Cricetulus griseus: one gene and its partner. The protein of the gene in region 1 purifies or fractionates together with the protein of each later gene. This does not show direct contact. Links are inferred from orthologs where the notes say so. Each region holds a gene or a part of one and is shown on either strand. Other genes may lie near its edges.

The links. Proteins that work in one complex are often made in the same cells at the same time.
Region 2: the proteins of Mms22l (region 1) and Asf1b purify together in Homo sapiens (co-immunoprecipitation; 4 studies listed by BioGRID and IntAct, counting the BioPlex papers as one, with this or other methods). This does not show direct contact. The link is inferred for Cricetulus griseus from reciprocal best matches to the Homo sapiens genes MMS22L and ASF1B.

What each region holds. Positions count from the first base shown.
Region 1 is NC_048595.1:117,128,860-117,132,505, forward strand, and holds part of Mms22l (protein MMS22-like), read right to left. Parts: intron 1,701-3,646; coding exon 1,191-1,700; intron 1-1,190. UniProt on the Homo sapiens protein: Component of the MMS22L-TONSL complex, a complex that promotes homologous recombination-mediated repair of double-strand breaks (DSBs) at stalled or collapsed replication forks.
Region 2 is NC_048596.1:160,459,150-160,463,328, reverse strand, and holds the start of Asf1b (histone chaperone ASF1B), read left to right. Parts: upstream 1-1,375; 5' UTR 1,376-1,532; coding exon 1,533-1,641; intron 1,642-2,143; exon of another isoform or gene 2,144-2,184; intron 2,185-2,249; exon of another isoform or gene 2,250-2,285; coding exon of another isoform or gene 2,286-2,367; intron 2,368-4,179. UniProt on the Homo sapiens protein: Histone chaperone that facilitates histone deposition and histone exchange and removal during nucleosome assembly and disassembly. Cooperates with chromatin assembly factor 1 (CAF-1) to promote replication-dependent chromatin assembly.

The DNA.
Region 1 (3,646 bases):
ATCCTAGCACTTGGGAGGCCGAGGCAAGCATATCTCTGACTTCAAGGCCAGCCTGGTATACTAAGCAAGTTCCAGGACAGCCACGGATACAGAGAAACCCTGTCTCAGAAAGACAAAACCAAAACAAACAAACAAACAAACAAAAACCTTCATATACTTGAAAAGTAAAACTTACAAAATGACAAAAATTCAAAAATATAGTTTGTATCCATCTTAAAGTTGTGTTCTGATTATATCTATAAATATATCTGTACAAATTATATTGACACAAACCATAAGCCTTCAATACTTTTTTTTTTTTTTTTGGTTTTTCCAGACAGGGTTTCTCTGTGTAGCTTTGGAGCCTATCCTGGCACTTGCTCTGAAGACCAAGCTGGCCTCGAACTCACAGAGATCCACCTGCTTTAATCCCGAGTGCTGGGATTAAAGGCGTGTGCCACCAATATTCAAGGCCGTGTGCCCGGCCCCTTGAATATTTTTTTATGTTAAAAACAACACGTTAATTTCAGAATATACAGACTCAGAAGGAAATATTTGAGGCATTGAGATTACAAATAATGTTTCAACTACAACTTAAAACCACTTTAAAAAAAAAATAGTACAATGTGGGAGGTAGAGAGACGGCTAGCCATAAAGGTCTTTACAGTGCAAACCTGATAACCTGAATCTGACCCCCAGATTCTCCATCGGGAGGACAGAAAATTGAGCTGCCACAGAAAGTGCACACCTACTCACATCCATGCATTACACACACACACACACACACACACACACACACACACACACACATCTCTCAATAATAAATATTAAAATAAAATAGTACATTATAGCAAAAACCTCCCTATGGGGACAAAATACCACAGGTTTCTATAAAAGTAACCTCAAACTTGAACTCAAGGTCTTGCTCAGACTAGCACACCTCTTTTTGTAATTACACATTTCAGAGGTGATACAGAAGGAAAGGTTCTAGAACAGACCAGGGCTGTTCCACTTTTGTTGCCTGTATCTCGATAAAAAGCTTTCTTGTGAAGAACTACTGTTTGAAAACTAATGATTTATGCCAGTGTAGAGGAAAAATCACCTCTTTCACCTACACTTTGTTGTATGTATGTATGTATGTATGTATGTATGTATGTATGTATGTATGTATGTGAAAAGTGAAGCTCACAAGCACTTGATGGAAAACATACCTGACTCTGGCCAGAACAGCTTGCAGAAAGTTCAGCACTGTCCTAAGTTCAGGTTCTCGACAGGCTCGCAGTAACATGCTAAATCCATCATTGAGAAGATGCTCGTGAGAAGGGTATAAACAACAGCTGGTCTCAAATACTTCTTGAACACCATCAATATAGATGCAAAGCAGTGTCCATAGAGTATGCCTCTGTACCATTTCATCGTTCTTAGATACCAAGAATTCCTTTGCTTTTTCTTGGAACTCACATGACAATTTCTCAACCCAAACACCAATGTCCAGATTTTTCTGTGCATACATCAGGAGGAATGCCATCTGACCCTTCCAAACAAGGGCTCTATGAGATGACGTGGAGGCAGGCCTGAGGAAACGAAGGAGGTCTAAAACATGGCTGGCTACATCTTCTATCTCTGCAACAGCTGCTAGCAGTAGAAAAAGACTGAAAAAGTTCTGGAGGCCAACTTCTGTTAGTTCTTCCATCCGTTTTTGATGAAATTTAGAATATATTCTATAAAATATAAAAAATTAGTATGATTATTTCATTAACTAAAATCATTTAAAAATACTTTCCTCCACTATTCATGACACAGTATTACTATAAGTTACCCCTAATTTTGTATGTGTGGTGCATGAATGTGTACATGCATATGGGCACATGTGTGCAGGTGCTTGTTTACACATACATATGGAGGCCTGAGGTGTCTTCCTCAATTGGATCCCACTTTGAGACAGTGACTCTCACTGAACAGAGTTTATGTTTTCAGCTAGTCTAGCTAGCCAGCTTGTCCCTGTATGCACCTCTCAAAGGCTAAGATTGTGTTAGCCTCTATATCTACCCAGTGTTTACATAGATGCCAGAGAGTCCCCAGGTCAAGTTTTAGTTAACTCTTCACCTTGATGTTGCCCTGTCACTGTTTCCACTTGCCACTGCCCACTGACTTAGCAAACCATTACAGATGATCAACGTTTCCCAAAGATGGTGGAAATGCTCTTTTCCTGTGATACATAGCTTTTCCCTTTGATTTCCATCATTTCCTTACTCCTTGACAAATAAGACAGAAAATATGTTATAGCATGGATTTCAAAAGGTCCACAAAGCTCTGAGGTTTGTTCAATAGTACTGTGCACTAAGAGACAGCTGCATCTTTAGGAGAGAGTCTAAGTAGAATTAGGTTAAGTGGAATCACTTACTTAGACACCAGCCTCCTGTCACTCTTTTACTTGTTGTCTGTTCCCTGACAACAAGATTAAGTGGTTTTGGCTCTGCGTGTGCTCTCATCAGGATGTGCTGCCTCAACCAAAGCAACAGAGTCAATGGATCATAGACTGGAACTCTAAAACCAAGAGCCCAAACAAACCTTACCTATTGAAAAACGCATCACTGCAGGGATTTGTCATAGCATCAGAAAACTAAGATATGCACTCTTTTAAGTACAATTTTATGTGCTCTTACACAAACTTTAACTGAACAATTTTTCAGAACTTTTCTCAAGTTCAGAACTTTTCTGTCCACCCTTCAGAAAAACCTGGTTTTATTTTGTACCTTAGGAAAATTCAAGGAGCTAGGTTATTTTTACCCATGAGAAGAAAAATTATGAGTGCTCAAATATATATGTCAGTCATTAAGAAATTTAATCTTTCATCAAAGCTACTTAGTATAACCTATAACCTTATGTACATTTCTCTCAACATTCAGGGGTTAGAATTGGAAAGCAATTCATCCTGACGTCCTACTCATGGACTGTTAAGTCCTGTAATTTCTATACTTAGTTGTTAAGGCCACAGATAATTAAAGCCCACAAGAGATTGAATGTTGTATAGCCAGGCGGTGGTGTCACATGCCTTTAATCCCAGCACTTGGGAGGCAGAGTTGAGCGGGTCTCTATGAATTCGAGGCCAGCCTGATCTACAGAGCCAGTTCCAGGACAACTTCCAAAGCAATACAGAGAAATCCTGCTTGAAAAACCAAAAACCAAAAACAAAAAACAAAAACAAAAACAAAAAACAAAACAAAACAAACATAAAAAAACCCAAAACAGAAAACAATGTAACTACATAACAGCTAATATGCTCCACAAAGTAAAGACCACTACTGGCCTATTAGTGTTATCAAAGAATTACAGTAATTCTTAATTAATGCAGTTGAGTTATTATGTCTTTCATAGAAACATTTATGTTTGAGAAGTATTACTGGTCTTGAACTCTATGTAGTTAAGGATGATCTTGAGCTAACAATTCACCTACATCCAGCTCCCAAGTGCTGGAGGGGTACACTACCACATTCAGCTCATTCAACAATGCTTGAAAATGTTCTCCCAGAAAGACAAATATTCTCTCCCCCAAAGTTCTTACCAAACAAAATGAAGAAGTAGCAGATGGTGATATACTACATAACAAAGGCTTTACAAGAGGGTTTCTATGTAGTCATGGAAGTTGAAAACAAAAAACAAATAA
Region 2 (4,179 bases), on another chromosome or scaffold:
ACGGAGCTGGTCCCTTCAAAACATGTACAGGAGTCCAAAAATTTCTCACTGAATAAAAGGATGCAGGATAGCTCATTAGCATTTTTATACTGATAATGTTTGAAATTAGCATTTTTGTTCTATTGAGTTAAATGTAATACTAAAATCAATCTCTCATCGTTTCTTGGCCTTTTAAGGATGGTCAAATGTGAAAACCAATTTATCTATTCATTTACTTCCCCAAAATCACTGTGTAAACCAGGCAGGCCTTGAACTCGCAGACGTCTGCCTACCTCAGGCTCCTGAGTGCTGGGATTAATGGATATACACCGGCACTCCAGGCGTTTTGTTTTGTTTCCTTTAAAAGACTTATTAGTAAAAGGTCTGTGGCTAGCATTATTTCTCACTGGTTGTATGTGTAAGAGACTGTGGCAGGGTTAGGGAGCCAGAGGGGCATGGAGTGAAGACCGCATTATATCGTCATAAATAGTGGCAGTTAACTTTCTTCTGTTTTTGTTTTTTCCAGACAGGGTTTCTCTATGTAGCCCTGGCTGTCCTCGAACTCAAGAGACCCGCCTGCCCCCGCCTCCGGAGTGCGCCACCACCCCAGGCCTTCGCAGTGAATTTTTCAACCGGTTGGAAAACAGGCTGGAGAGAGGATCCAAACCCTGGTACGTCGACGAACTTCAACTCCTTTCGGACCGGGACTCCATCCTGGGTCCCCACTCGCTGCCGCGCCATCTTGTCTCAGGGGTGCTCCAAATGTTCACGGCCGCTGTCCTCAAGGCCAGGAGTCCCTCAGAGGAGCTCCCGGAAACGCTCACCAGCGGACAAACGGAGGCCAGAGCGCCGCCATCACGCTTGCCTCTTCATGCTTTTCACTGAGCCGGAGGGCGGCTTCCAGCGCAGCCCTCCTTGTGCCGCGACATTAGCCAATCACATCTCAGAAGCCTACTGAAGCCCCGCCCCGTGGTCGCTAGTCAATCACGGCGAGTTCTGGCTCCCTTCTTTCAGCGCTCTTAAGTAAGAGTCGCGCGCCACCGTTCGGCCGTTAGTGGCTCTGCTCTCTGTGGGGTGTGCCTACCGGAAGAGCAGAATGAGGGGGCGGGTCACGCCGATGCGGTAACCCTTGGGATTGGACAAGAGAAGTTCCGCGCTCTAACTCCGCCCACCCCGGCGCAAGATATTCGAGTCGGAGACGCTAGGGATTGGTTCCGGATGGACACTTTGCGAAGCTAAAAGATGATCGTTCCGCCTCCCGCGGACCGTGAAGAGGAAGCTTCTCTGATTGGTCCGCGGGTCGAGGCGCAAACCGGAAGAAGCCTCAGGATTGGCTGGCGGGGCTCTCGCGCCGTCATAGATCCTTAGCGGCGATTGGCTGGAGGGTGGAGTCAGCTATTTGAAGGCCGCGCGCGGACGCGAGACGCTCTTTAGAGAAGAGTTGGAGTCGCTGAGAGGTTCTCTGCCTCGGCGACCTCCTCTTCCCCAGCCGCCATTGGCTGCGCAGGACACCGGAGAAGGCTCCACTGCAGCTGTGACCCCCTGGCGAGGTGATGGCCAAGGTGTCGGTGCTGAACGTGGCTGTCCTGGAGAACCCGAGCCCTTTCCACAGCCCCTTCCGGTTCGAGATCAGCTTCGAATGCAGTGAGGCCCTGTCTGACGGTGAGGCTGGGCCTGTGCAGGGGACCCCAAACCCTCTTGCCCTCATTTTTGCCACTCCCAGCCTCCCCGGGAACTTCTCCACTCAGAGATAAGCCTCCGTGGTCCAACTCGGTGGATAGGATCCAGTGCACGGTAACCTGCACTGTCTCGTGGAGGCACCCCTCGTCCTGAACCACTTGTCCTTGGCACCTTTTCTTTGTAGTGGTGTAAGCCTCCATCTAGCGTGTAAGAGACCGCGGCTACGCCTTCTTCCCAATGGCTAGACTCCATTTTCATGCCTATTTCCCCATAGAAAACCTCCCATCTATTCTCTCTTCCATGGAAACCCAACCTCCAGTACCCTCCCCCATTTTCCTTATGGACGGCTTTTCTACAGACCAGCAGACCCTCCTCTTGCTACCCTGTCTGCCCATGGCAAGACCTCTTCCACCCCATTTGTCTCCCATCGATACCATCCCCAGACATCTCCACATTTGTCCCTAGCAACTCCTCCTAGCCAACTGTAACGTCATGGCTGTTGTCCAGACCGGGGCCTCTCTTTAGGTTAGTACCATATCCTATGCATGACCTTCCCCCGGGGAGGGATGGGGTCTTCTGGCTCTTTGTAGATAACTTGGCCTCCCCAGCTCCTGGTCTGGGATTGGATGAACACTCGGGAAAGGGGTGCTACAGCCAGGCAGGCCTCTGCCAGTTTTGGGATTTCTACCAGCTTCCAGCAGACTCAGTGTAAGGAATCCCTCCTTCCTTTTGATGGGCTGACCTGGTGGTGGTGGGGGGTGACTGACCAAACAGGGATGGGATTCAACTTCAGTCAGCTGGGGAGAGAGACCGCTGGCCTTTGTGAATCTTTCACAGAATGACTTCATTCATCTGCAGGACATAAAGGTGGACGTGGCTGTTAGATGACAGGACAAGGGCCACAAAGACCAAAAGACCTTTGAAATAAGTCTGTGAACACATTAACCATGAGGTCACTTTGTAGTCTCAGCTCCACAGCAAGGCAATGTGTAGCATGTTTAATAAAAACCCAGAGACAGATATTGGGGTTAAAGCTGAAGATCAGAGAAGCAAAGTAGCCAGCCACTAGCTCTTACCTCTACCTCAGACAGAAAGGGTGATCCTGTCCTTAGATTGCATGTCCAGACTGTACTGCTGCTCAGACTGCCTCAGACTGCACATCCTTGTCTCCTCCCGCCTTATAGTCCTCTCTATTGATGGGATTAAAGGTATAGGATCCCAAGTGCTGAGATCACCTTTCTTTGAGCTCTGTTTCTCTTTCAGACTGGCTCAATTTTGTGTAGCTCAGGTGGCCTCGAACTAACAGAGCTCTGTCTGCTTCTGTATCCCAAGTGCTGGGATTAAAGGTGTGTACCACCACTGCCTGGCCTCTATGGCTAGCTAGTGTGGCTAGCTTTGCACTCTGATCTTCAGGCAAGCTTTATTTGTTAGATCATAAACAAAATATTAACACTAGGCAAGTCCTGCTTTTAGGAGGAAACACTCCTCATTTTCCTACTGAGGGTTGAAAGATGTAGCAGCTGAGGAGGTGGAGCTCTGAGAGGCTAGGTTGTGAAAACTAGTGCCTCTTGGTGGCTGTGGTTGGTGTTCAGACAAATCCAGCCACTTCTGTTCACCTGGAGCTGCTATAATGTGTGCTTGGGGTGGGCCACTGGCTGATCCTCTCCCTAGTTTCTCCTTAAGTTTAAAGGAATCTACTTGTGGCTTAACTATAGAATAAAGCTGGGTTAAATCCTTGCTGGAACAAGGTAGGGTGTAAATAAATAAAATATAGGGTAACAATGTGGGATAAGATTTATTTGGAAGCCAAGAGGAGACATAAATCAATGGAATCACAGTTCCCAGATGCTGAGAGAGCAGGTTTCAATCAGCCTGAGTGTGCTCTTTGCAAATAAAAATGGTTGCATGGTCATTACCTAATATTACTTTGATTCCTTATTTATGGAATTAGGACATCAAGGCTAAAGTCAGCTGCTGGCCATTGTAATACGAGCAGGATGATTTCTCCAAGTCAGCCAGACAGTAAAGTGTTACCACTGAAGTTTGTTTCTGAGTTCAGATTTTTTTTTTAATTTTATTTTTTGAATTTAATTTGTGGGTGTGGGCTAGAGACACCAGATGGTCTTCCTCAACTGCTCTTCATTGCTCTGTACCATTTTTTTTTCTTTAAAAAAAAAAATGTGTGTGTTTTGTCTACATGTATTTATGGTACCACTTGAGTGCTTGGTACCACAGAGTTTAAGAGAAGGAGTTGGGTGTCCTGGAACTGGAGTTACAGACTTTGGGAGTCACCATGCAGATGGTGGGAACCTGCCTGGCCTCTAGGAGAGCAGCTAGTGCTCTTAACCCATGGGCAGTCTCCAGCCCTGTTCTACCTATTTTAATCTCTGCAAAACCTGGAGCTCTAACACTACTAGGCTGGCTGTCTAATGAGCCAGGAACCCACCATCTCTTCCTCCTCAATAGTGGGGGTTTTGTTTGTTTGTTTTTTGAAACAGGATTTCACTACATAGTTCTGGC